4 separate regions of the Mus musculus genome follow, and all the other regions are reported to be linked to region 1. Evidence: microRNA targets listed by miRTarBase, many of them from high-throughput screens and not tested one by one. Region 1 holds a microRNA gene; each other region holds the end of a gene's coding sequence.
Evidence for each region. The annotated mature microRNA mmu-miR-686 reads AUUGCUUCCCAGACGGUGAAGA and lies in region 1 at 2,166-2,187, shown strand. An mRNA with a match to its seed (bases 2 to 7 or 8) in the 3' UTR can be bound and repressed. Matches are read on the target gene's strand: a 7mer-m8 pairs with bases 2 to 8, a 7mer-A1 pairs with bases 2 to 7 and ends in A, and an 8mer does both.

Region 1 (7,120 bases):
TGGCTCAGTGCTCTTCCAAAGATCCTGAGCTAAATTCCCAGCAACCGTAGCTTACAACCATCTATAAAGAGTTCTGATTTCCTCTTCTGGCATGCAGGAGTACATGTAGATAGAGCATTCATGTACAAACAATAAATAAATATCAAGAAGAAACAACAAAACAAAAACCTTTAAGGGGCAGTGAGCCTGGTGTGTGGCTCAGGCCTGCCTTTCATTAGTCTGAAACAAGGCAGGAAAACCTGGCCAGTTAAGAGGGGGTAGCCTGGCCTACCTACCTAGTAAATTTAAGAACAATCCGGATAGTAGAGCATGAAACAAAAACAAAAAAAACAAACTAAAAAACCAACAACAAACAAAAAACCCAAAAAGCCACAACAAAACCCTAGCTAGGGTATGTATATAAATGCTATCAAAAACAGGCGGTGGAGTTTTTGTTGTTGACAACCAACTATTGCGGCTGAATTAATACCATGGGAAAATGGTCTGAAAACAATTATTTGAACCAGGATTAGGATAGGTGGCCTTAAAGAAAATGGCCACTTCAGTCTCTCCTTAACGGGGTTTTGAAAAATAAAGAAACAGCTTGCAATCTGAACCTGGGCCTGGGCAGTGACCAAACACCCTAGTCCAGTTAGGAGTCTTAAGCAGTTACGCCCTTCTCAAAGATGGCCGAATTCGCTTCCCTCACTCGAGAAGAACATTCCAACCACTCTCTAGAAATTAGAAGTTAATCTTATCCGTACTACTTCGATGCCAAAATAAAAATGGCAATCTTAACCACTCAGCCATCCTTCCTAGGTGAACACAGACCGGCGCTGGTATTTAGAGGTGTGGTTGCCCGGAGTAAAAATGGCGCCGCCTCCGTCTAGACTTAGCTGGACGTGAAGTTGTGACGTCGCGGCGTTGCCAGTCGGAGGCAGTTCCTGTTGCCCTTGCTAAACATGGCGCTGGCTAGCGTGTTGCAGCGGCCGATGCCGGTGAATCAGCACGGGTTTTTTGGGCTCGGAGGTGGTGCAGATCTGCTGGACTTGGGTCCGGGGAGTCCTGGTGATGGGCTGAGCCTAGCCGCGCCGAGCTGGGGCGTCCCGGAGGAGCCGCGAATCGAAATGCTTCACGGAACCACCACCCTGGCCTTCAAGGTGCTCAGACAGCTCGCGCTTCTCCGGCATCCCAGCCGGAACCGGGTCGGGCGGAGGTTCGGTCCCCTCCTCCCGACCCTTGGCGGGTTCACTGTCTCGTAGCCTTAAGAAAGGAGAGGTGGGCGGAGATAGGGGGCGGTGAGGGAAGGAGACGGACAGCGTGGGTTGGCTCCTAGGCGACCCCAGTTTGCCCCTTTTCAGGAGCCCTACCTGGGAACAGCGGACCGTGGCGGAGGGTGCGGGGGGGAAGCCATTGTCGCCGTTCACCAAAGTTTGTATAAACTGAGCTTGATGAAGTCCAGGGGCTACTGAAGTGGGTACCGAACAGTTAGGGTCCCTGTTCCAGCCCTACAATAACTAGCTCTGGATCTTAGGCTAGTCTTTAAAGATTTATTCTTATTTTTTGTATATACACCACGTGTGTAGTGCTCGCAGGCGCCAAAAGAGGGCGTCGTGTTCCTTGGGACTGGAGTTACAGACCTTTGTGAGCACTGGGAACCGAACCTCTGAAGAGCAGCCAGTGCTCTTAACCACTGAGCTCTCTCTCCAGTCCCCTTAGGGTGTCTTTATCTCATTAAACTTGCTACTTCATATTTAAAGTGAGTAAAAGGGCTATTCATAAATCAGGAACTGCTGTTAAACCCGAATGACATTTAACATAAGAAGTCGATTACGCCGGGTGGTGGTGGCTCACGCCTTTAGTCCCAGCACATGGGAGGCAGAGGCAGGTGGATTTCTGAGTTCGAGGCCAGCCTGGTCTACAAAGTGAGTTCCAGGACAGCCAGGACTATACAGAGAAACCCTGTCTCGAAAAACAAAAACAAACCCCAAACCCCCCAAAAAAGAAGTCGATTCCAAAATCCCAAAAGATGCAAAGCCAGGTTATCTTTCTGTATTTATACAAAAATAAAGTATGGGGAGTATTTGTGGTCTTACGGGGCCTCTCTTTTTGTTTTCTCTGACCTTAACTAGTTTCTCCATGGAGTCATTGTTGCAGCGGATTCCCGGGCCACAGCAGGTGCTTATATTGCTTCCCAGACGGTGAAGAAAGTAATAGAGATCAACCCGTACCTTCTGGGCACCATGGCTGGGGGTGCAGCGGATTGCAGCTTCTGGGAGCGGTTGTTGGCTCGGCAGTGTCGAATCTATGAGCTTCGCAATAAGGAACGCATCTCGGTCGCAGCAGCCTCCAAACTGCTCGCTAACATGGTGTATCAGTACAAAGGCATGGGGCTGTCTATGGGCACCATGATCTGTGGCTGGGATAAGAGAGGCCCTGGTGAGTTGTGTCCTGTGAGCCATGGTGGGAAGGGGTTAAATGGGTGGGAGAATTGAGGGCTTTTAACAGGTGCTGGGAATGGATGCGATATTAGGTTCTCAGCTCTTCCTTCCCTTTCCAAGGAAGGCCTTGTACGGAATAGGAAAGAGCATAGAGTTAGACTTGCTGTGTCACTCACTGCTTAGTCATTTGACCTTAGCCTATTTCTTCATCTGGGAACTGGTTAAGTGAACCATTGAAGCGGTTAAGTGTGGTGCACATAGAGCAATTGGTACAATGTCTGGCACAACAGCTCTCCTTCTTTCCCATGCAATAATGACTAGAAAACATTTGTACTGGGGAATTGTAAACTTTAAAAATTGTGTTCTATTCTAGCCAGGTGTGGTGGCACATGCCTTTAATCCCAACACTTGGGAGGCAGAGGCAGGCGGATTTCTGAGTTCGAGGCCAGCCTGGTCTACAAAGTGAGTTCCAGGACAGCCAGGGCTATACAGAGAAACCCTGTCTCAAAAAACCAAAAGAAAAAAAATTGTGTTCTTTTCTATGCTTGGGTGTTTTGTCTGCATGTATGACTGTGCACCACAGTGCATTCATGGTGCCTGAAGAGGCCAGAGAGGGGATTGGATCCTCTAGAATGCAGTTACTGATGGTTGTGAGCCACATGTGGGTGCTCAGAGCTAAACCCAGGTCCTTGGCAAGAGTGGCCCGTCCTTCTTCCCCCTGCCCTGGGGGCCATCTCCCCAGCCCCCCCCCCACTTTTAAATTTTAAGTTAAATTATTTATTTGTGTGTGTATGTGTGAACAAACACATCCTACAGCATATCTGCAGTTCAGAGGATAACTTGTTCAAGTTGGTTCTCTTGTTCTGTGGGCCGGGCTCAGGACATCAGGCCTGGTGGTAAGCAACAGTTATATGCTGACTCACCTCACTGGCCCTCATTGTAAAAAATAAATAAGCCAAGTGATACACAGCTGTGACCCTAGAGCACTAGGGAGGGTCAAGAGTTCGAGGCCAGCCTAAGCTGTATGGCAGAAGGACAGCCTGGAGCACACAGAAACATTGTATCTCAGAAGTCAGTAAAACTAGTGGAGTTGGTGTATAGTTAATTTTATATAAAATGCCCAAATTATTTCTCAGTACCTGGCGGTAGTACCATTTCAAGTGTTGAAGTCAGTTTCATGCAGTCTCTAGCCACTGTGTTGCATGACAACGATAGGCTACAGAGTTGTCATTTAAGCGTTATCTCCCACCATTCCTGAGTCCTGTGCTTGACTTGGCCAGCATGCTTGCCTTTTGGAGTTGCCGAGAGAGCAGGAGGGATGGTTAACATACTGTGAGGAGAGATGGGTGGTATGGTGCTCTGGAATCTGGAAATCTCAAGATAAATTTGACTCTGTCTTTCTCTGATTTCTTGAAAATTTGTTTCTTTATGAGTTTCTGTATGGGTATGTGAGTGTTTGCATGTGTATATGTGTGTATACCACTTGCATGCCTGGTGCCCACAGAGGACAGAAGAAGGTATTGCATCCCCAGAGACTGGAGTTACAGACAGTTGCGAGCCACCCCGTGTATATTGGGAACTGAACCTGGGTCCTAGACAAGAGCAACAAGCACTCTTAACTGCCGAGGAAGCTTTCTAGCCCGTTTTGTTTTGAGACAGGGTTTTATGTAGCCCAGGCTGACCTCAAACTTAATACATAGTCAAGCCTAGCCTTTAACTCCTGATCCTCCTGCCTTCACCTCCCAAGTGTGCTGAGATTTGTTTTTGTTTTGTTTGTTTGTTTGTTTGGTTGGTTGGTTGGTTGGTTTTTTGTTTTTTCGAGACAGGGTTTCTCTGTGTAGCCCTGGCTGTCCTGGACCTCACTTTGTAGACCAGGCTGGCCTCGTACTCAGAAATCCTCCTGTCTCTGCCTCCCAAGGAGATCCTATTTTTGTCGGGGTGGGGCGGGGTGGTGTGTGTGAGAGAGAGAGAGAGGGAGGGGTGTTAAAATGACGTCTTTTTTCTCGTTCCCTGCTCACCTCATCCCCTCAGGCCTCTACTACGTAGACAGCGAGGGGAACAGGATCTCTGGGACCGCCTTCTCAGTGGGCTCTGGCTCCGTGTATGCTTACGGCGTTATGGATCGAGGCTACTCCTATGACCTGAAAGTGGAGGAGGCCTATGATCTGGCCCGCCGAGCCATCTACCAAGCCACCTACAGAGATGCCTACTCCGGAGGGGCAGTCAACCTCTACCACGTGCGGGAGGATGGCTGGATCCGGGTGTCCAGTGACAATGTAGCTGACTTACATGACAAGTACAGTAGTGTATCTGTCCCCTGAGGGAAGGTGGATGCGGTTGTCTGCATCTCTAGGTGGGTCTCCATGGCTATAATAAATAATAGTACCTCTTTCAGAGTGGAGTCCACAGTTATTTCAGTGCCTTTGTGTCGCGCCCGCTCTCGACCAGCAAGAACGACGCGACCACCAGTCCTTCTAACAGCAGTTTATTCAGTCCTGATTCTTCTTGTTTATATCTCCCCCGAACCCTGGGCCTCTCACTCCTTTTATACTCTCTCATCCACGCACCGCAGGCCACGCCCCCTCGCCAGTCACGAGGCTTCAGCTAATCAGGGCAGCAGGGGCAAATCTCCACCAAATTGGATTCACCTGTATCCTGGTACACCTGCGCAGCACTCAAGATGTTTGTGTCTTATATGAGGAAGTCAGGTGCAAGTCATATGACTTAGCTGCAGTCCCTGGCGCCTTTGGGACTGCCGCCACACCCGCTCCCCACACCTTTGTGAGGCTCTGAATCATGGGTAAGAATGTTACCGGGTGGGGTGGTGGGCTCTGATGCACTCGCTGCTTGTGCTGTTTCTTGGGTGCTAAAATTGTACCATTTCTCAGCCTCTTGTCCACACTGCCCCTCCTTTCAGGCCAGGACAGTGAGAGAGAAGGCACTGTAATTACAGGAAATGGTGGTCTGAGGACAAAGTCTGGTGAATACATTAATGTCCCCAGTCCTGAAGCTGACAGCAAAGCAGGAGAGAAAGGTGGGGAGGAGGGGAGACTTCTTGCTTCAGTTTGAAGAGGTGAAAAGTTGAGGTGGAAAGATGCACAGGGATGTTGTGGGCGGGGCTGCAGAGGGAAGGTCTTGTGTTTGGGGTAGGAGGAGACTATGCAATGTAGAATGATAAACAGGATAAATCTGGGAATTTCTTTTCTTCATTTGAGCCCTGGCTATCCTGGAACTCACTCTGTAGGACAGGCTGGCCTTGAACTCACAGGGACCCACCTGCCTTTGCCTCCTGAGACCCGGGAGTCAAGGTATGTGCTAACACACTGGGCCAGATCTGGAGTCTTGAGTGAGATGGGAAGGGAAGGCCTGAGCCCTGAGAAAGTGGAAGCCTGTGTAGTCCTCTTCTGTTCTCTCAGGGCACGGATGCGCCTGCCACTGAGGAGGAGAGGCTGGCTTCTGGCCTCTGGGGCAGGAAGCAGCCCAAATGCTGCTAGAATGTGTGGCTGGGAAGGTCCCTGCTGAGCACTCACACTGTTGGCTTCACACCCCACCCCGAGGTGGTCTGTGAGCAGAGGTGGGGTTGTCAGGAGGATGGACCATAGACTGCGAGTGAGTAGAAGTCAGGTGGGTCTGGCTCCCTGGACTGCAGCTCCCTTCTCAGCGCCATGCAGTTTGTGTTCTGATCAATGATGCTGTCCATGGGAACTGATCGAGGCTTGTTAATTGCATTTGTCAAGTGCAGGGAAATTGTGGATTAGTGAGCCTGGAGGACAGAGTTTGGAAAACAAATGACTCCTTTGCCTCAGCAGATTCATTTTGTTGTACAGCTCTGGAGCCAGAGGACCATTAGCGAGAACCCAAACAGACTGTACATTTTAAAAATTAGAATATTTTGGCTGGAATGTAGCACAAATGGTAGAGTGCATATCTAGCATTTAGGAAGCCCTAAGTTCAAACCCTAGCCATTCTAAGCTACATAATAAATTGGAAGTAAGGGTGAGGTTTTTTTTTTTTTTTTGTATTGTTTTTGTTTGTTTGTTTTAATTCTCTTAAAAGCTGAGCCATCTCTCCAGTCTTAAAAAATATATTTAGAATGTTTAAAAATAAATCAACTTGACTGGGCAGTGGTAACACAGGCTTTTAATCCCAGCACTTGGGAGCCAGAGGTAGGCGAATTTCTGAGTTCGAGGCCAGCCTGGTCTACAAAGTGAGTTCCAAGACAGCCAGAGCTACAAAGAGAAACACTGTCTTGAAAAAAAAAAAAAAAGAAAAGAAAAAAAAAAAGGCTGAAGTGGAGTCTCAGAGTGCATAGCCCCCATCATTGTACTTTTACAGCCTCTGTAACATTCCCTGGGACCCCAAAGAACACTGTTTGAAAACTGTGCCTTGAAGAGGGAACATGCTGAAGACAGATTCCAGTTCATTACTCCAGAGGGCAGGACACACAGACACTGGATGGGCTTCTCGCCCCAGGTCTCCTCACACTGCTTTGGCAGTGGTCTCTGTTTCCACCCCTGATCTGCAGAGTCCTGTAGGAGAGAGGATGTGAAACCTGAAGACCTAGAATTTCCTGGCATATTCCTATTCTAACCTGGGTCGGTGGTACAAAAGTCGTTTAATAGGAGTCAGTGTGTGATAGGTCAGTACCCAGTACCCACAGTAGGCAGCTCACAGCTTACTCTAGTGAGTCCAGTGCCTCT
Region 2 (7,120 bases), not on the chromosome of region 1:
GGTATCTATGCCCCTTTTAGTTATAACTTGTTTGTTGCTCTTCTACAAATTGAGGTTGCATTTCTGTCAAATTTATCTCACTTTTAACCTGAACGTAGATAACGCAGTTTACACTGGGTTTTGGTGAAGCCATCTTCCAATCTGTCCCCCATGTAATTTGACTTTGGAATTCCTCATGCAGATGGTGGGAGCAGATTGCTTACCAGCAGCCTGTTGATAAGCATATGTAGCGTTTTGAGGTGGGATGTGCTGAGATGCATTCTCAGGGCTGAACTGTGGTTGTGCTTTCTCATCGTGTCCATTTGTAATAACAACGTCATTTTCTTGTGCCGTCTTTTCATTTTCTGTAAGATTGCTCTTGGTCTTCCATTTTATTCTTTGGAACTGTGGGATAAGCCTTTAGTTTTCTCTACTGAGTGACTCTTGACACTGAGATATTTGGGCTTCTTAACACTTTGCCTGTTTCCTCATACAGGTATCGAAGTGAGAAGGTGACAATCAGTTATGCAGAGTATATTGCTTCTCGACAGCACTGTTTCCAGAATGGCACTCTTCATGCCCCGCCCCTCTACAATCATTACTCCTGACACACGGCTACATGACCAGTCCCACCCCCCTGTGGCCACCAATGGCTATGACATCATTGGAGCAGATGCCTCCTCTTCCTGGTCCAGTTACTTCTATTACTGCACCATTTTATGATGCTAGCTTCCGTTGCCAAGTCTGCCTCCTGCTGACTGGAGGGTGTGGGGATACATTGAATGCAACAGAACATGAGGGGCCCAAGCCTTATATCAGCCTTTCCTCAATCTGGGGTTCTGTTGGATCAGGGCTCCCCAATAACCAGTGAGAATGGCTGTGTGGGTTCAGAAGACCGTTGTCTGGTGATTTCCCACAAGTATTGGCCACACACTGAAAACTGGAATTGACTGTGACCCATGGAGGCTTCTTCCCCAATCCCCCACAGCCCGCCACATCAATTAGCTGTACTCCCTGGCAGTCTGGGCAACGGAGACCAACAGGAACCACTTTTAGGTTGTTTTAAATTCCTTTTTTTAAACTTCCAGTTTATTGTGTACCAAGAGTTGATCCACAACCTCCATGCTTCAGAAGTGAACACCATGTTAGGGTTGAACATGGGCACCATGAGCCCCTGTGAGTCCTGGATAAGATTCTCAAACCAAGATCAGAAATCCTGTGATGACATTTCATCGTACAGTAAGCTGTGAAGGTTTTCATGCTTACCCGACTCTCAGTGGACATTCTGGTACTCTTCCTGCATTGAGTCTCCTGCTGTGAGCTCTGTGGCATAGCCTGCTGAGGAATGGAATGGAGATGCCTATAGAGGTCCCAATGTCATCGTCGTAAGCAGGTGTGAAAGGAGAGATCTCTTCCTCACCACCCGGCTACCTCAACTCTTTTCTGGTAGCAGTGCCTATGTAGCTGCATCTAGGTTCTCAGAAGCACAGACATGTAAACAGGTGGTTGGGTTGGGCTTTAGGACATACTGTCACAGGAGAGCTTCCAGGGTCTCTGAGCTGGTTTTCTTCACAGGCAAACATCCTGAGGGACCTTTAAGTAGGGGAGTTCTTTATTCTGATTTGCCTGCAGAAGTAGGAAGACTTGCTATATCAGTCCTCAGTAGGACTAGAACAATGCTGTGTAATAAAACAAGGTGAACCTTTAACTTGCCTACCATACTGGGACTCCTCACTTCACCAGTGCAAATGTCCAAACTGTTCGTGTTGCTCATTTAAACTCTTGACATTCCCGCTCCCATCTTTACTCATTCCAAAATAGCTGATAGCAAATTCTTTTCATTCATTTGGTGGCAAAACGTGTAGTACTAGGAAACTAGGGAGGTGCTTTGACAGCTCTGTCTCAAAGGCACTGACTGCTCAGGCAACTCAAAGGAAACGGCCGGCTGGAAGAAAGGCTCCTGAGGATGGCGCACTGGTTTTCAGCAACATTCATAGAGACTCGGGAGGCAGATGTGGCCTCAACCTGGTGAACATATGTTTTGATTTCTTTTTTTAGGATTGATGTGGTGATGGTGTGGCTTTCCAAAATGGGCAAATATTCAAGTCCTAGCTCATCAGTTTCTTGTGCCAGGAATGGAGGAAGGGAAGTAGATCTACTTCCATATGTGCTATTCTAGGCATCACTTCAAAGTTCTTGCGGTTTTCATTTGTTTTGTTTTGTTTTAAAACTGGGCAGAGAGGTTGTACCAGGAGTGATGACAGACCTGGAATGGATGAGGGAAGTGCTGATGACATTGGAATGCCCAGGATGCATGGCCCTTACTGCCAGGGTGGGTTCCTTCACATACCTAGGATGAAGGGGTCTCATGCTGCCTGCCGAGGGGAATGAAGGCTATGTTATTGACATGTGACAGCAGGTGCTCTCAGGTGCCATGGATTGATGCAGGGTGCTCAGCTCTGGACTGAGGTACCCACTTCCAATTTGTAAAACAGTATTGATACATAGGGCTACACTCATTACTGTTCAAGCGTTCTATGTTAAGAGTTGTTTAATTTCTAAAGATTTAAAGCAAAATGCAAAAAAAAAAAAAAAATGGTGCTAAACTTCACCCCTGAGCACTCAGTGAGACTGGTCATGCAAGCATCTACAGTGCCATGCTCCTCAAGCCTGTTTTTCTTGTAGAAATGTTGCCCTATCTTGTCTTTCCCAATGTATAGTGTGTGTTTTGTTTTATTGAGGGTGGGGTAGAATACTTGCCATTTAAGAAAATGACAGAAAGACCCAGAAAGGTGGGGTTGGGGAATCGGTAAACAAGAATCCAGCTAGCAAGGCCCAGCATCACACTGAAGTGGGCTCAGTGGTTTCAGAGTGAAGTCGCCTTACTCCTGCACATTCCCTCGTGCTCCCAATGCAGTTCTGCAGTGCAAATGCTCAAGTTCCTCCTGCCTTGTCAAGGAGACCTGGAAATCAGCAAGGAAAATTATTTGCCCCAAAAGACATGGGCTCTATTGGTGTCAGTCCTGACTTGAGCATAGGCATTCACAAGTTGAAGTACAGTCTTGGTCACCTCATGGGAACATGTGGCAGATAGCTCTCAGGAAAAAGCAATTGTGGATTGTCCACTTGGGGGCTTTGCATAGGGAGGTCAAGCTCTGAATTAGAACTGAGCTGCCTTCCATACGTTGACCAAAGCAGTGATAAGGGTGGCCAGTTAGTGGTAGTGGAAAGGGACCGTTTCCTGCCCTGGGTTTCCTTTAGCTATAGGCTGCAAGGTCCCCACTGCTCTCAGAGAGCCAGCTAAACTGCTGGCTTGGTTTGGAATTTGTTTCATCCCTAGCTGTGAGTGCCTTTTGGTCTGGAAAGTTGGCTTGTCTCATCATACCCACAGCTAGGACATATACTCTGTAATTATGAATTGTCCTTGTTTTCCTGAGCTAAAAGCGAATGTCTTTGATCATTAGAGTTTGTTAGTGTTGGGTTGTTTCCACTGTGAGGTTCTTAAAATGTTTTTGCTTCCTAATGTTAAAATAACTCATGTTAGAAACCCTGTACACATGAAAAAGGGTTTGTAGTTGAGACATTACGTATATTTTACTGTTTATAATAAATCATCTATACAAAAGTCTTGGGTGTTAATTTTAATATTTTGAGCAAAATCTGTTTTCCATGCTATGTTAACATCTACAATTTCACTAATAGTGTTACTTTCCATTGATTTCTGAAGCCTAGAAAACTGTTTTTGTGTGTTTTTTTTGTTTTGTTTTGTTTTGTTTGTTTCCCCGAAGAGATTGTATGGCCTTCACTGCAAAGACTTCAGACCAATTACTTGTATTACACTTGGTTGCCTCGTGGCTATATAACTTCTGAGTACACGTCATCAAGAGTCCTGAATGAAGTATTGTAGAGAATAAATCATAATGGACAAAAACTGTCTTCTGCCTCTGTGTGACCACCTGACTTGAGTTACTGGAAACAGATTTTCCATTATTTTGTTTGATGTCCTCATAAGAGATTTGTCTGCCTCTGCCTCACAACTGATGGGAATAAAGAGATGGGAAATAAACCCATCCCAGTGAGAGTACCTGTTAAAAGATTCCTATGAGCTAGGTAGGATAGAGCCATCCTTCAATCCCAACATGGGAGGGCTACAGTGAGAGACTGTTTCTTAAAAAGCAGAATATCAAAAACTATAGGTGAGATGGCTCAGCCCATGAAGGATGTTGCCACCAAATGACCTTTTCACCTTGCAACACAATATAGTTGAAGGAGAACCACGCTGTCCTCTGCCTCTATATATGTGGTCTGGCACAGACACACAAAATAAGTGGTGTGATAAAACCTTAAAGATTCCTATCATTTGAGATTAGAGGTGCTTAAATATGTGGTATGAAGTTGTCCTTTATTCTCTGAGGTTAACGGTGCTAATTCTTGGTGAAAGTAGGGGTGATTAGATACTTTTAAAGCTCTTTCCAAACCTAGACATGGTAGCTCAGGTCTGTAACACCATGATTTGGGGGACAGGAAGATGGACAAGAGTTCAAAGCCAGGATGAACTGCAAAATGAAATCTTATGCCCCATCCCCATCCCTGCTCCCCCCCACCCCCCAAAAAAACGTTGATTAGTGGCACATGCCTGTAATCTCCGGCAGAATGACTGCTGTGAATTTGGCTATAGAGTAAAGCAATAGTCATCTACACTGGAGAAATGGCTCAATGGTTAAGAGCATTTCTTACTGAGGATCTGGATTTGGTTTTCAGCACCCACATAACCATCTGTAATTCTAGTTCCAGGGGATCTGACACACTCTTGTAGCTTTCTTAGAGACTGCACACAATATACTGATATACATGCAGGCAAACACCAGGACAGGTGTCTCATGCCTGTAAAAACCACCACTTAGAAGATGCACAGACAGGCAGAACTTTGAAAACTCAAGGCCAGCCTGGTTTACAAAATTGTTGGAGTGTCAGCTAGGGCTACAGAGTGAGAACCTATCTCAAAAACACAATTCCACTCCAGACTCCTGGCATGTTAAATGGAATTCAAACTCCAGGTTTATGATTGTATAGTAAGGGTTCTTAACTGTGGAGAGCCATGTCTTTAGCCCTAGCCTGTTGGAAGTTCTTTAGCCAAGGTCCAGTACACAATGCCAGGGCTGGATGGCTCTCTAGCCACCTGGATTGTCATAATGTTGTATATAAAGTGGGATTGTGGGAAAATGGCAAACCCTTTATCACAGTAGTCCTCAACCTTCCTAATGCTGTGACCCTGTAGTACAGTTCCTCCCAACTATAAGATTATTTTCAGTGCTACTTCATAACTAATTTTGCTGTTGTGTCTGTAGTGGCTATTCCTGATTGTCAACTTGACTATCTCTGGAGTGAATTACAAGGCTCACCTGTGATTCAGATCTTGAGGCTGGAAGACACAAGTTTCTGACCTGGATCTTGGCATGGAGCTCTTGCGGCACAGTGGCCATGAAAAGCTTAGGCCCAGGCAAAGTAGGAGGCATGGAGGTCTCTAAGTTCAGCTTGGGACAAAGCAAGTCCCAGATCCAGGTGTGGTGGTACACACCTTTAATCTGGGCCACACCTGCTGGAGACCTACATAAGGACATTGGAAGAAGGAAGATTAGCTCTCCGCCTGCTTGCCTTGTGGGACTGAGCAACTGCTAGATCCTTGGACTTCCATTCACAGCTGCTGCTGACCATTGTTGGGGAGCTGGACAACAGACTAAGTCAACAAATTCCTTTACTATACAGACTACCCATAAGTTCTGTGGCTCTATAGAGAACCCTGACTAATACAGAGTCTTAATGTTAGGAGATAGAATCCTTATGTAATTATGTTTCCCAAACTTATGGGGTCAAGAGTCATAACTTGAGGACTGGTGCTTTACAACCTGGGCATGTACAGGGAGACAGTGTTTATGTTTCAAGTCAAGATAAGCTGTCAGAAGTTGCAGACAATGAAACTCTGGCACGTCCAGTTTGGCAAAAACTAGTTTATTAGGGTTACTGACTAGAGTATGGCCAACTCACAGCTACACTACTGAAAACTGCCAACACTTGTGGGGTGGTGAGCTGTGACAGGCAGCCTGGTCCCTGGTCGAGCAGTGTTCAGTAGTGTAACAAGGGCACTGGTGGCCATCTAGAAGACCATCAAGCTCACTCCCTGATGTTGAACACCAAGGAAAGACAGAGGACCAAGCCCTGGAGAATGGGAAAGTGACACAATTATCCCTAGGGATAAAAGACTACAGCTTGGAAACCCTGATGGACTCTGGTTTGATAATTTTCTAGAGCCCCTGGGGTCTCCTCTTCCCACTATGGGTGTCCTGTTCAGATGCCTGTCCCCGTGCTTTTCTGCCATTTCTCCCCATGTCTTCTGTGAACAAGAGACAGCAATCTACGGGAGCCTGCTTTTTCTTTCCTTGTCCACCTCTTACCCTCAAACTGTCTCCCAGATGGAATTTGGGTCCTCGTGCGTATAAGGACAAGCACTGTGGTAACTAAACCATCTCTCCAGAACTCACTCTCTAGACCAGGCTGGCCTCGAACTCAGAAATCCACCTGCTTCTGCCTCCCAAGTGCTGGGACTAAAGGCGTGCGCCACCACACCTGGCTACTCCCTACCTCTTAAACAGCTCTGACTTCTAGTACTTGAAGCTTTAGGAGATTAATTTAAACCATATCCAAACTTCAGACTCTTGACCTTCTCTTGGCATCTTCTCTGACTTTCTGTTAGATCATTTGTCGATATTGCTCTAGCTACTGTTGGTGAGCTCATTTGGAGGACAGAAGGACAGGAGGACAGACTTTTACCTAACTCATCATTTTAACCATATGGCCTAACAGATGGCTTATACTGGTTTCCTAAATAAAAATGTCATATACAGGCCAATCTGTGAAATGTAACTTTATGTTTTTCTTACTCTCTCTCTCTCTCTCTTTTTTTTTTTTTTTTTTGTTTTTTAGCCCAGGCTGTCCTGGAACTCATTTTGTAGACCATGCTGGCCTAAAACTCAGAAATCCACCTGCCTCTGCCTCCCAAGTGCTGGGATTAAAGGCATGCGCCACCACGCCTGGCTATTCTTCTTTTTTCTCTCTATGCCTGGTGACTTCTCTCCTCATCCCT
Region 3 (7,120 bases), not on the chromosome of region 1:
TTGGTTGGAATGTCCATTTCTGTTCTTTTATCCTGGGTGACATCTCTCCTTGATGCTAGGGTACACCAGAGAGATGAACTCTGCTTTCTAACTCAATCTGTTGGTCTATGTTTTTATAAATAGGATATTGAGACTGTTGATGTTTAGAGTTATTAATGAGCAGTATTTTTTAATTCATTATATTTTGTTGTCTTTTTTCACTAACTGTTCTATGGTTATTTATTCTTCATGTCTTCTAGACTGTAGTTCTCTGCAAACTTGAGTTTTCCACCTAGTGCCTTCTGTGTAGCTTAATCAGTGCACAGAAAATGCTTAAATTTGTGTTGTTGTTGTTTTAATCATTTTAATCATTTTTCTGTCTGTGTGATTGATATTTTTTGCTAGGTATGGTAGACTGAGTTGGGATCTCTTTCTTCTCAGAGCTTTTAGTATATCAACCTAGTCCTTCTATTGTTCATGATCTCCACTGGAAAGTCAGTGCTATTCAAATGGGCCTGCCTCCCTCTGTTACATAGAGTCCTTCCATGGCAGGTTTAATATCCTTTCTTTAATGTTTTGATTATGATGTCTTCCTGGAGCCCTATTATTTGTAGATACTGTCTTTTCATAGTGTCCCAGATATCTTGGAAGAACTAAAGAGACTCTAGGTCTGTACAAAAATCCTAATCCTGAGGGATGGAGGTGGGCTGGGAAAGGGGGCTTGGGCTGGCACATTGCAGACAGACTTAGGGTAAATCTCGAGAAACTGGGATGAAGCTCTGAATTTCTAGCTGAGGGGACTTGACTCAGAGACATAACTCTCCTTCTTCGGGCTGTTTTTAGTGAGCCCCATGGTTTTACAGAGGTTTTTGTCTGTTCATTCCCCATTACCTCGGGAATTGATTTTCTCATTTTCTTTTTCTTTTTCTTTTTCTTGGATTCATTCAATTCATGTTGTTTAGTTTTGTGTAATTTATTAGAGACTCGTTTGGTTATAACTTTGAGCTTTATTGCATTGTTGTCAGATCAGACACACTGAGCTATTTGAGTTATTCTGAACCCCAGTATGTGGTCTATTTTAGAGAATCGTCCATTGGCTGCTAAGTAAAACACACACACACATACACACACACACACACACACACACACACACACACACACGCATGTATGTATGTATAAGCTCTGAATACATACATACATATATATATATATATATATATATATATATAATCTTTGGAGCTTGAGCAAAATATCCTGTAGATATATGTGAGGATCATTTGATAGGTGATGTCATTTAATTCTGATGATGTCTGAGAGGTGACTAAGGTGACACCATCTTTTCTTGACTCCCTTCTGTGTTTGCTTAGACAGCTCTCCGTTCTCTACCCTCATGCCAACAGTCATATGAGCGTTAGTAACACATTGAGATTTCTATCATCCTGTCTATGGTTCAGATGTATTAATCAAAATAATTTCTCAAGTGAATTATATCATCCATTATTTTTGTCCAGATGGGCTGTGTCTTGTTGAAACCATCTATTATTGCTGAGCCCAGGATAATTTGCATCTTGAAATCCGCTGGTATGATTTTTATGAGGTTGGGTGTACCAGAATTTTGAATTGTAATGTCTTTTTAGTTAATTGTTCCCTTGAGCAAGATGAAATGGTCTTATTTATCTCTTCTGATTAATCTTAATTTGATGTTTAGTTTGTCAGATATGATGGCAGCAATGTCTGCTTGCTTTCTGGTCTAAATTGCTTTGAAAAAAATACTTTCATCTGTTCACCTTAAAGTATTGTCTCTTCTGAAAGTAAGATGATTTTCTTATAGATGAGAGAAGGATGGATCTTTCTTGCAAGTCCTTTCAACTACGTTATGCCTTTTGACTAAGGAGTTTCATTGGTATTAAAGCTTGAGACTTGCAGTTTTGCTTCAACTTTGGCAGACAGCTTCACTGGGTAAGGGAGTCAGGGTTGGCATTTGTGGTGTTTGTAGAACTTAGAGTAAATATACTGCTCTCTTCTGGTTTGTTGTTTTTATTGAGAAGCCAAGTGTTATTCTGATGAATTTTTCCTTTATAATTTATCTAGAAGGTTATCTAGAACCGACAGAATGTGTGTGTGTGTGAGTATATGTATATATGTGCATATGTGTGTATATATGTATATGTGTGTGAGTATATGTATATGTAAGCAAGCAAAGAGAGTGAACCTTCTTCTTCCATATCCTGCGATTTTGCTCTTACCAGTGCGCAGGAATCGGAACCACATCCCTGAAGCAGGGATCTAGCGATTTCGCTCTTACCAGTGCGCAGGAATCTGAGGCACATCCCTTAAGCAGGGGTCTAGAAGGTTCCCTCAATAGCATGGAGCCCCAAACCCCTTGCTACGCTCATGCAGCCAGGCTGTCTGCAGGCCTGAGGCTTGGTCTCAAAACAACACATTAGTGGGTCGATCATGACCTCTCAGTCCCCGCTCCACCCCACTCAAAGCAACCCCAGAGCCGGCTTTCTCCATGCCCTAACTCCACCTGTGCCTGCTCCATTTAGCTTCCCGAAAACATCCAGTTTCTCTGAACTTGACAAGAGGTCATTTGGAGCGGGTCATCATGACCTTGGGCCCCACTTCTATCCCGCAAAGGCATAATGGGTATTTGCAGAGTGGTCCCTGACTGAGGAAGTCCAAGGTCCCGCCCACTCTTATCCTGACGCTACAGCACTCTATGGAGCCTGTCACTGAGTCAGCAGCACTGGGAGTTGAGCAGGATCCAGCGTGGTGGGGGAGAGACGCTGTGTGTGTGTGTGTGTGTGTGTGTGTGTGTGTGCGTGTGTGTGTGTGTGTAGGGGGCGGAGATTGTTTTTGATGCTTGTTTTGGAGGGGCGACTGGGGGCTGTCCAGACTGAGACACACCCTCCCCTTCAGCCCCTCGCTTCACCCCTCAACACATACTCTGCTGTGGTTTAAAAAAAAAAAATCTGGAGAAATGAATGGATTTCTCAGCCACTAAGTTCTCTTCTTTGGCTATGTTGTCCCTATATTAAGTCCTCATCCATCTCTCCGCTCGTGTGCATGAGCACACACCCTTATGTGCGCCCCCTTCCGCAAACTGAGACAGTTTGAGGCTCAGGAAGGGCAAATTAATCCTCCCCCCAGCCTCCAAATAGATGAGAAATGCCTCTGAAAGGGAAGGAAAGCATCCCGGAAAGGAGGGAAAGAGCTGGACCAGGCAAGCAGAGGCAAGCAGTGGGCTGGGGAAGTGGACTGTGGGTCGGTGCACCATGGGTGAGATTTTCAATACAGTAGAGGCAAGACGGAGAGAGATGGAGAGAGAAAGGAAAAAGAAAAGGAGGGAGCAAGGAGAAGACTAGGCAGCAGGCAGGGGTAGCGATGGGATCGGAGTGGAGTGCAATTAGCCAGAAACTTAGAGAAACTAGGTTTGCAGGGACAGAAATGGGGCAGAATAAATACCCCTGGGAAGGGATGAGATTGCTCAGGCAAAACAAACTCAACGGAACAACAGAAGTGAGAAGAAAGCAAGTAGGGTGCTGCCTGTGGGGAAACGAGTTGAGTAAGAGGAGGGAGCCCAGGGCGGAGCCTAAGATGTGGACACGAGTGGTGACGAAAGAGAGGGGCGGAGCCTGAGGTGTGGCGTTACCTGGACCAGCACCCACAGGGTAGATGCAAACAGCTCACAGAAATTCATTGCCCACATCTGACCTCTGAGAGTGTCAGACACACATATGTGGTGCATATACATACACTCAGGCAAAACACTCATACACAAAATTAAAATGTAAGGGTCTTGGAGAGTGTACTCATGAGACCCAAGAGTTGAGGAGGTGAAAATTTGAGGTTATGTGAAGAATCAGACCCATTCACTCATTTAATGGTCGTTGCTCGTTTTATTATTTGTCCAAAGGCGTTGTATTGGACCGAGGTAGACAAGATAACGTTACATCAGAAATGAGCCAAAGGACTGTTCCTTTTGGGAAAAAAAAAAGCCCTTAAACTCTGTGCTGCCTTTCAGTTGGATGCTGTAACCGCACCTACCCTTTGGGGGCTCCACTTTCTATCCCCTCAATTACTAAAGCAGATAAAAGGCTGGAGGTTACACTGTTATTGAGAGGTATCGTCTGATAGGTAGGAACATTAACACCCACAAGCGTTTAAAGCCGGCTTTGTGAGCTGAGCCATGAGCACGTTGATGTTCCCTAAGAACAGGGCACAGTCAGTCTAAGCCGTGCCTTAGCCATTGAAGGCCTGGCTCTGTCCTCATCTCCTGGTGCCTTCTAGTATTTAAATCCTTAAAATACTTGATGAATCTTGCCTTGTAGTTCTTGATACAAGTGTCATCTACACAACAACCAGTCAGGAAGGATACATCCCTTATGTTTTGTTTGTTTTGTTTTGTTTTGTTTTCAGACAGGATCTCATTACATTGCCTTGGCTCATCCAGAACGCAGAAACCATCTCTCTCTGCCTCCCTGAAGCTGGGATTAAGGATGTGAGAGAGACACCACCACCAACTGTTCCTCTCCTTTGGAGATGCCAAGGGCAGGCTCTGAGTCCACTTGTCCAATGCATATGCAAATGAGTGAGTTGTAAATGTCTACTTTTCTGCCTGGTTTCTACCGGATTCCGAAGGGATTGCTTTGCACAGAGCTGACTTTATCGTAAATATGTGTATTAAAGTGGGCGAGTTTTCTCATTCTCATCACATTGACTCTAGAACGACTCCAATCCCCGGAGACTAAGGCCTGCTTGCAAGGTTGCCCCCCCCCTTTTTTTTTTTTGCTTGATTCATCAGAACACAAGCAAGAGAATGCATCCTAGCTCAAGAAGGGAGGCTGTTCTGAGCAGCTGCAGAAAGAGGTTGGAGGCTGGGCTGCTCAATTTAACCAAAATGCCTAGTCAGCAGAATAACTCTGTTTCCATTCCTCTCGAGCCAAGGGCCCAAGAGCTCTCTCTGATTCACCCAGCTTTTCTCAAGCAGAGCACTCATTAACTAGATCGCTGAAAATCACTTCCTCCTGTGTCTTCTCTGGCTAATTCTAACAGTGTTCGAGAAATAAATATCTCAAGGAGAAGCAGCAGCCCGTGCGTGAGCCTTGAAGACACCCCCTCTTACATTCTTTGCTTCTGTTCCTCCCTGACTCCAAACTTCTCTTAAATAGAGGTTAAGTTGTAAGATGTGTATTAACACAGTCACCAAAAAGAAAAAAACAGTGAAAACTCGTGAACTGACAGGCATGGGGACATCTGTCTGAACCCTGGTGCAGGCGCTAACCTCAGAGGCAAGAGCCAAAGTGTGAAGCCCTTTCCAGAGGCAGCAGGAACACCTTCAGGAAGCTCAGTAGCCTCAGGTCGGCAAGGTAAGCAACAGCCTTTTCTCCTCCGGTTCTTTTTCCTGGGAGAATGAGAGGCTCAGCAACCATTCTTCCCTTTGATGAAAGCCAAACTAGGATGACAAGAGTAACTCCCAGGGCTGTGACCCCTGTCCTGATAGTTTTAGCACGTGAAACAAAACAAGACAGAACCCCACGCAGCACGAACCACCATCACATTGCTCGAGGTCAACAACAACAACAAGTCACTGTCCCTTTCCGTCTCTGTAGGGGAAGGGAATTTCCTCCCAGGGATTCAGACCTAGATATACAAATCCACAACTGTCTACATCCCAGGAATACCAAGGAAAACTTTGTACACAACTCAAGCCATTGTTACACCATCCCACTACGACTCCCTGTACCACTCAGAATACGTTTAAACAAAACCAAAACTCATACCGTCCCCACTACCCTTATCCCTAGAACACAGTTCCTAGAAAACCTAACTTGTACATTTCGCACTGAGCATGCTGTCTTCAAAGACCCTGCACACGTACACACACGGACACAAAAACACAGACAAGAGAAAGCTCTGTTCAAGGGGATAGTTTTTCCTTCTGTGTGGGCCTTGATTACTTGGGTAACAAAGTTCACTCTTTAGCTCTGTAACCTGATCTCTCAGCTGTGTGTGTGTGTGTGTGTGTGTGTGTAGCATGTGTGCATGTGTGTGCATATGCATCCATGTGGTTGTGTGTGGTATGTGCATGTTGAACGTGTGTGTGTGTGTGTGTGTGTGTGTGTGTGTGTACAGGATGAGGGACTATGAACTGGGAGTGAAAGCTCACTCTATACTTTTCAGAGGGAGGAGTGAGAGGCATGTGATCACAGGGGAAGAGAGAAGAGGAAGAGAGGAGGCAGACCCACATGAGAGTGTCTGGCCCCTTGCTCTCAAGCTCCGAATGCCTGATCACCATCTCTTTCCTGTTTCTTCCTTTCATCTTAGCCCAGTACTTCATGGAGTCACCCATTCTGTAGAATTTGATGTAGATCTTGGAGCCAAACAAATTTAGGAAACATTACATGAATAGAAATTGACTGTGGGGGTTCTCAGAGCCCTTGATATACTAACAGCCGCTTTCACTTTCTCTCTGTGTAGAGTAAATACTTGGGAACTGGTACCACATGGACCCCAACCAGTGAGAATGGACCTCAGCTATCACTGCTGGTTCCCTTGAGAGTAGGTTCAGCATGAATAGCCTCACACATACATACTTTGCACCATTTCCCACAATTTTGCCCAGAGAACTCTGTTTTCCCACGTTGTCTCACAGAAATGGTGAGAAATACTCTGGCCCTCAGGGTACAGGAGAGGGCCAGCTCTGGCAGTGGCTGCTGGTAGCACCGGCTGACAGATATGACCATGGCTACAGAAGAGACAGATTTCAAAAGGCAGCTGTCCTTCTGTCCCAGCTGCTCCCAGGACTCTGTCCCTGGTGGGTCAGCAGGTGCCTATCTAGGTGGTGCTTGCGGCCAAAGCTCTTCTCACAGCGAGGGCAATGGAAGGGCTTCTCCCCGGTGTGGGTCAGCCAGTGTCTCACCAGGTGGTGCCTCCGGCCAAAGCTCTTCCCACATTCAGTGCACACATGGCACTTTGGCACGGGAGGCACGCAGTGCTGAGCCGCAGGACTCTCTCCAAAGTCTTGGCCCTTGCAGGACTTGCTGTCTGCGTGCACTCTCTGGTGGCTGGCCAGGTGCGAGCTGCATCGGAAACTCTTGCCGCACTCAGAGCACCTGCTTGGCTTGTCATGCAGATG
Region 4 (7,120 bases), not on the chromosome of region 1:
ACAAGGGTAGCCCTGCCAGCCTAGGGCAGCTCTCCCACCTCCATGCCAAAGTCTTTTCATTAAAGAATGTTTTGGAATGCCACTTGCTGCCCTGGCCTTTCTTCTCTCTCCTCCCTCTACCTTGAACAGGGAACCCAGGTGTCTGGTAAGGAAGGGAGTGGGGACTTGCTGATGCCATGGATACTCCACGGTGGCAGTGGACAGGGTTCTGGATTTGTGTCCTGGGAAGGGGCTGGGAGGACAGAGGTGGCCCCAGCCCTGCCTCTCTTCCTCACTCCCATTGCATGCACACTTCTCTCCTCTCTCCTTCCACCCTATTGCATGCTTCTCCTCAGATTTCCCTGCAACAATGTTCTCTTTCCTTCCTGTCCCCTCACAAATTAAGTCTCTCCATCTTTGCTCTTCCTCTTGATTGCCCCATAAGTGTCTAAGATTCAGGAGAGAGTTAAAGCCACAGCTCTTTATTTCGAAGGCTTCCTGGCTATTTCCCCCATCATGCCCTTCCTCCCAGCCACAGGTCTCCCAAGTCCCCATCACTTGGTTGTCTGGGTACAGACAGAGGTCACCTTCCTGCCCAATGGCCAGGAAGCTCCAAGAGCCCACAGCCTAGGTGCCGGTCCTAAGAAGTCAGTCCCAAACTCGCTGTCCCTCCTGAGCCTTGTCTCCCTTCCCAGGGTTCCCACTGCAGCGGCTCGGGGGACCCCGCTGAGTACAACCTGCGCTCACGCACCGTGCTGTGCGGGACGTGTGGGCAGCCTGCTGACAAGGCTGCCGGTGGAGCGGGAGCCCAGGTGGGCGGATCCATCTCCTCTGGCTCTTCTGCCTCCAGTGTCACAGTCACTCGAAGCTTCCGCAGTGTGGGGGGCAGTGGGGGTGGCAGCTTCGGGGACAACCTAGTCACCCGCTCCTACCTCCTGGGCAACTCCAGTCCCCGGAGCCAGGTGAGTCATCTCTGCCCTACAGCAGGACACTGCTCACTGAGCAGCAGGGCAGGGCAGCCCAAGGGAGTGGGGTCCCCCTCCTTGCAGTCCCTCTTGCATCCTGCCCCTCCTGTCTGAACCCCAGACTCGAGGTCAGGGCAAGGCCCAGAGTGTGAGGGTTGGGGAGACAACCCCCTTTGGGGTCAGGGAGGGAGAGGAAGGGCCAGCCACTGCTGCTCACACCTCTGCCTTCTCTTCTCTCTTAGAGCTCCCAGAACTGCAGCATCATGTAATCTGGGACCTGCCAGGCAGGGCTGGGGGCAGAGGCCACCTGCTCCCCCCTCACCACATGCCACCTCCTGTCTGCTCCTTAGGAGAGCAGGCCTGAAGCCAAAGAAAAATTTATCCCCTGCCTTTGGTTTTTTTTTTTTTTCTTCTATTTTTTTTTTCTTTTTCTAAGAGAAGTTATTTTCTACAGTGGTTTTATACTGAAGGAAAAACTCAAGCAAAAAAAAAAAAAATCTTTATCTCAATCCTAAGTCCTTCCCCTTTCTTTCCTTGTATCTGCCTTAAAACCAAAGGGCTTCTCTAGGAGCCCAGGGAAAGGACTGCTTTTTATAGAGTCTAGATTTTTGTCCTGCTGCCTTGGCTTTACCCTCATCCCAGGACCCTGTGACAATGGTGCCTGAGAGGCAGGCATGGAGTTCTCTTCACCAGCCTCCTCCAACAGCTGGCCCACTGCCACGCCAGCTGCAGAGAAATGGGGCGCAGAGAGGATGACTGAGAAGGTCAAGCCCCTCCCCGGCACTACACGAGGCCGAGGCTCCTCTGCCTGCCTTACCTTCTTCCTGCCCTTCCCTAGCCTGGGGCGAGTGGATTCCCAGAGGCAAATCTGCCGTGCTTGCTTTTTCTATATTTTATTTAGACAAGAGATGGGAATGACGGGGAAGGAGAAGGGAAGATCAGTTTGAGCCTACCTTTTCCCAGCTTCTGAGCCTGGTGGGCTCTGTCTCAATGATGGAGGGCAATGTCAAGTGGGATACAGGGAAGAGTGGGGGACGAAGGCTCCCAGAGATGGGGAGAACCTGCTGGGGCTGGTGAGAAGTCTAGAGGTGCGGCGATTGGTGGCTACAGCAAACACTAAGGAACCCTTCACCCCATTTCCCATCTGCACCTCTGCTCTCCCCTCCAAATCAATACACTAGTTGTTTCCATCCCAGATGCTGTGGTGTCTCTTTGTTGGGTGTGATGTGTGTTTTCAGGGGCAGACACATGCACACAGAGGTGCCACACATTCACTATATATTCACTACCCAGCTATAAAGGTGTGTATGAGGGAGACTTCTAGAAAGGTCAGCATATGTGGGGTGAGCGAGGGGTGTCCTTCCTATCCCTCATCCATCCAGCACCTTTTAAAAGGGGCCAGCAATCCACATGTGCATCAGACACAGGAGCACAGAGAGACGGAGGGTAGAGTAGGGGCCAGAAGTAGCAGAGCTTCCCTTGCTGCCCCTGTAGTCGCAGGGCTCTGGATGCTGTGATTGCCTCTGTAGGCCGAGATACTCTTAGGAAAGGAAAGAAAAGGTGGGGTGTGGTGAGTTTGAGGCTAATCTGGTATTCACAAGACCCTGTTTCAAAAGTCTTTCTTGGAGCCCAGCAGTGGTGATGCACGCCTTTAATCCCAGCATTTGGGAGGCAGAAGCAGGCAGATTTCTGAGTTCGAGGCCAGCCTGCTCTACAGAGTGAGTTCCAGGACAGTCAGGGCTACATAGAGAAACCCTGTCTCAAGAAACCAAACCAAAACTAAACAAAAGTCTTTTCCTGGGAGAAGAGCTGGGCGTTCAGTCAAAAGTGATTGAGGGCTGGAGCAATGACTCTGAAATGAAGAGAACCTGAGTTGGGTTCCCAGCCCCCCAGTCAAGTAGCTCCCACTGCCTGTAACTCCAGCTCGAGGACATACAACATGTCTCCAGAATGCCAAGTCTATGTACTTCACATATGAGCACCCACCCCACACACATGTACACCCGAATTCACATCCACACACAATCAAACCTTTTTAAATCATTGAACCAGTCATGCTATTGCATGCCTTTAATTCCAGCACTCCAGAGTCAGGTGGATCTCTGAGTTCAAGGCCAGCCTGTTTTACATAACAAGTTCCAGCAACCAGGGCTTTATAGGAGAGACCCTGTCTCAAAAACAAAACAAAAAAATCACAACAACAAAAACAAAACAAGAAACAAAACCCAAAGTGATTGAGTCCAAGAGATGTCTTCATTGGTAGAGACACGTGCTAAACCTAAACCCCACCCCTGAGACACGCATGGTGGAAGGAGAGAGCTAATTCCTGCACGTGATCTTCTGACCTCCATGTTGCCATATGCAGTGTGATTCCATTCTTGGGGAGATTGAACAAATTACTTATTTTTAAAACGAAAGAGAGAGAGAGAACCCAGCTGCCACTCTTCAACTGACTTACCAGAAGGAAAAAGAAAACTGGTTCTCCTCTACCCTGTTATAAAAACCAACCCTACCAACTGAATGTTCCTCCATTCTAGATCCCATGTGTCTCTCTATCCATCCTCCTGACCTCTCACTCTATGGTTTTTTTCCCTGTGTTCACTCCCTGTCAACTGGTTGCTTGCTCCACCTCTTGACCTGTGGTTGACTTTATTAATCTTGTTTACAATAAACAGAAAGCTTTTGAATTAAAGGTGTGTGCTAGAGCTGAGCTACACCAAGACTAGAAACAGGTTTTTCCAGTGTCCAGTCTTGGGGTTCACAATATGATATAACAGTGACTACTAATCTCAGACAGAAAAATGACAATAGATCAAAGTAAGGGCCACCAAAGCCCAACTTGGTGAACCAGTGAAGTTTATTGGGATAACTGACAGAGTAGAGGTGAGGGGTTAATGAATCAAAGATGGCTGCCTCACCAAAGCTCGCCCAGCATGGGTGACAGATAGCTCAGGAGAGCTGGGAACCTGGAGGTCAGCCCACAGCTGCAGGCAGCACAGCAGGTCAGAGAATGTCCTTTCCAGGTGACTCAGCTTCCAGGCAGATCAACTAGTCTCTGCCCTCGAGCAGCTTAGTCTGAGTGTTTCTGAGTAGTCCTTACTGCTTAGATATCTCGAGGACAGAGACAGCCACCTGGTCAGTTTCAGGAACTTCCTGAAGCTATTAAGTTAATTACTTTCTGAGCTTAACAAGTTATCCTGCCGGGCGGTGGTGGCACACGCCTTTAATCCTAGCACTTGGGAGGCAGAGACAGGTGGATTTCTGAGTTCGAGGCCAGCCTGGTCTACAAAGTGAGTTCCAGGACAGCCAAGACTACAGAGAAACCCTGTCTCGAAAAACCAAAAAAAAAAAAAAAAAAAAAAAAAAAAAAAAAAAAAAAACAACAACAACAACAAAAAAAACAAAAAACAAAAAACAAAAAACAAGTTATCCTAGCAAGATAGAGTGTTTCATCTTCTGTCAGACAAGCAGGACATCCTGCTGCTTTAGACCCAGTACTTTTGAGACAATGTCTCACTGTGTATAGCTGGCTATCCTGGAACTCCCTGTGTAGACAGACTCCCTTGATCTCCCAGAGATCTACCTGTCTACCTCCCTAGTGCTGGGATCAGATGTGTGGGATCACCATGCCTGGTCCTAACATTCTGTGTGTTAATAAACTTCCCTGTGCATGTGAGAGCGTTTCCCCACAGAGGCCAGAAGAGGATGCTAGATCCCTCAGGTTGTATTTAACAGGCAGTGTGATGTGGAGAATCAAACTTAGGTCTTACACACAGTCTGAACTCTTAACTGTTGAGCCGATTCTCCAGCTCCAAGATGGAAGGTTTAACTCTCAAAGGAAATTGCTACACATTGCCCCATCCACAGTAAACAAATGTAATTTTAAAAGTCACTTTAATTATTTGAGAGGGCCATCTGTAGGCAGGAGCACGTTTCTAACATCCTGGCTGCCCTGGTCCATACCCAGCATGGAAAAAAAAAAGACATCACGATGTGGCCCTTATCTCTGTAATCCCAGCACTTAGGAGACTGGAGTAGGAGGATTGCCATGAGTTTGAGACGCTGTTTCAAACAAACAAACAAACAAACAAACAAACAAAACAAAACAAAATAAATACATTTAGGGGCAGGCTGGGGGAGAGGAAGAAATTAACGAAAGGAGAAAGGGCTCTGGAATCACACTGAAAGTCCGTGGCATCTCCTAAGCTGAGGCCCCACAGCCTCAGGAGAAGGGAACAGGAAGAGGTAGAAGTTGGTGAGAATCCAGCCCAGGTGTGTATCCTCTGCCAGCCTGCCAGCCCTGCACAATGGCAGCAAGGGGTAAGAGAACAGTTCACGCACGGTCCACTCTTCTGGGATGTACAATGTACATACATGCACTTTCCAGCTAGGGCACCAGGGGGCGCCAAGAGTCTCATCACGCCGCCTCCCCACCCCGCCCCGCCTCAGGCATCAGGAATGGGTAGGGCAGGCTCAGAGCAGACTGGGAACCTGAGAAAGGATAAAGCCTGAGGCCTTACCTTCACCTGCACCCACAGGTCTCAAAGCCAGCTCTTGCCAAGCGCCAAAGGCCATTAAGGCAAGTGGTAAAATACCAAGGTAAACTGGCCTTGAGGGTAGATCCGCAGTTACCCTCTGAAACCCTTGGAGATAGACACAATTTAGCATTTGGGCCTCAAAGGATTACTTTGTCTATATTTTTGTTAAAGAATGTAATACTGGCATTCATTAATTTTTTTATTATTGTCCATGTAGTACTTGGCCATGATAGAGAATACAAAATGAAAAAATAGCAATCGAGATCTCACTGTCTTATGTATATTTACTTTCCAATTTTCTTCTTCTTCTTCCTCTTCTTCTTCCTCTTCCTCTTCCTTTTCCCCTTCCCCTTCCCCTTCTCCTTCTCCTCCTTCTCCTTCAAGATTTATTGTATGTATGTATGTATGTATGTATGTATGTATGTATGTGAGTACACTGTTGCTATCTTCAGACACATCAGAAGAGGGCATCAGATCTCATTAAGATAGTTATGAGCCAGGCGGTGGTGGCTCACACCTTTGATCCCAGCACTTGGGAGGCAGAGGCAGGTGGATTTCTGAGTTCGAGGCCAGCCTGGTCTACAGAGTGAGTTCCAGGACAGCCAGGACTGAACAGAGAAAAAAAATGGTTGTGAGCCATTATGTGGTTGCTGGGAATTGAACTCAGGACATCTGGAAGAGCAGTCACTGCTCTTAGCCGCTGAGCCATCTCTCCAGCCCTACTTTTTTTTTTTTTTTTAATGTTGTTCATTTTAATTTTCTTTGTTCCTTTTCTTTTTTCCTTCGAGACCGGGAATCAAACGCAGGTGTCAGGCTTAGTGGCAAGTGTGCTTATCTTCTGAGCCATTTACCTATGTCGTTGGCTTAGTTCTGAGCCAGTCCGTCTCTGCAGTAAGATATGACAGGAGAAGGGTGAGGCAGTGGGTCACATTGGGTCCTAGAGCAGAAAGAGACCATGGCTGACACTTTTGCGCCTCTCTTATTTTTTCTTAGAGGCTCATCATATGTCTCTGGCTAGCTTTGAGAATTCACTGTGCAGTTGAGGGTGACCTTGATGCCACCTCTCTTCCCTGAGTTCGAGGCTCCCAGTCAGGAGCCACACCAGCACAACTGGTTTCCATGATGCTTGGCCCCAGGGCTTTGTAGATGTTGCGAAAGCCCTTGGCTAAGCTTCCGCCTCACCCTCTTTGCTCTTTTCCTTTTTATTCACTCTAGGGGGCGCTGCCAACCTTAGTTGAACATCTCTAGAGCTGCCCCACTCCAGACATACAGAGGTGTGGTTCAGGTCGCTCCAAACAACGGCAGGTGGACAACAGAGAGCATCACACTGGCTGTGGTGGCACACACTTTTAGTTCCAGCACTTGGGAGGCAGAGGCAGGTGGATATCTATGAGTTCAAGGCCAACTTTATCTAGTGATCAACCTTATGCAGGCCACCAGAGATACATAGTGAGACCCTGTCTTTTTTCGTTTTGTTTTGTTTTTTTCAAGACAGTTTCTCTATATAGCCCTGGCTGTCCTGGAACTCACTCTGTAGACCAGTCAGGCTGGCCTCAAACTCAGAAATCTGCCTGCCTCTGCCTCCCACGTGCTGGGATTAAAGGCAAGCGCCGCCACACCCGGCTTTTTTTTTTTTAA

Region 2: the mRNA of Ammecr1l is a reported target of mmu-miR-686. Seed matches in the 3' UTR shown: 7mer-A1 at 2,549-2,555.
Region 3: the mRNA of Zfp641 is a reported target of mmu-miR-686. Seed matches in the 3' UTR shown: 8mer at 5,112-5,119 and 7mer-A1 at 4,770-4,776.
Region 4: miRTarBase lists Lmna as a target of mmu-miR-686. Seed matches in the 3' UTR shown: 7mer-A1 at 1,424-1,430.

What each region holds. Positions count from the first base shown.
Region 1 is chr14:54,611,813-54,618,932 of GRCm38, reverse strand. Mir686 (microRNA 686) reads left to right here and starts at 2,148; the gene lies at 2,148-2,256. Psmb5 (proteasome (prosome, macropain) subunit, beta type 5) reads left to right here and starts at 938. Exons shown (of 3, transcript NM_011186.1): 1 at 938-1,139; 2 at 2,112-2,418; 3 at 4,452-4,813. The coding sequence starts at 942. The coding sequence ends at 4,741.
Region 2 is chr18:31,780,169-31,787,288 of GRCm38, forward strand. Ammecr1l (AMME chromosomal region gene 1-like) reads left to right here. Exons shown (of 8, transcript NM_153515.4): 8 at 476-3,915. The coding sequence ends at 587. Gm26533 (predicted gene, 26533) reads right to left here. Exons shown (of 3, transcript NR_165792.1): 2 at 5,382-5,586; 3 at 1,066-2,354. Among named protein-coding and RNA genes, the nearest start is that of Gm26533, 5.4 kb to the right of the region's middle.
Region 3 is chr15:98,281,724-98,288,843 of GRCm38, forward strand. Zfp641 (zinc finger protein 641) reads right to left here. Exons shown (of 6, transcript NM_173769.4): 6 at 4,399-7,120. The coding sequence ends at 6,749. It overlaps Gm33967 (a long non-coding RNA gene), which reads left to right. Exons shown (of 4, transcript XR_001781762.2): 3 at 4,402-5,351. Among named protein-coding and RNA genes, the nearest start is that of Zfp641, 11 kb to the right of the region's middle.
Region 4 is chr3:88,476,167-88,483,286 of GRCm38, reverse strand. Lmna (lamin A) reads left to right here. Exons shown (of 12, transcript NM_001002011.3): 11 at 675-941; 12 at 1,187-2,139. The coding sequence ends at 1,213. Among named protein-coding and RNA genes, the nearest start is that of Gm40089, 14 kb to the right of the region's middle.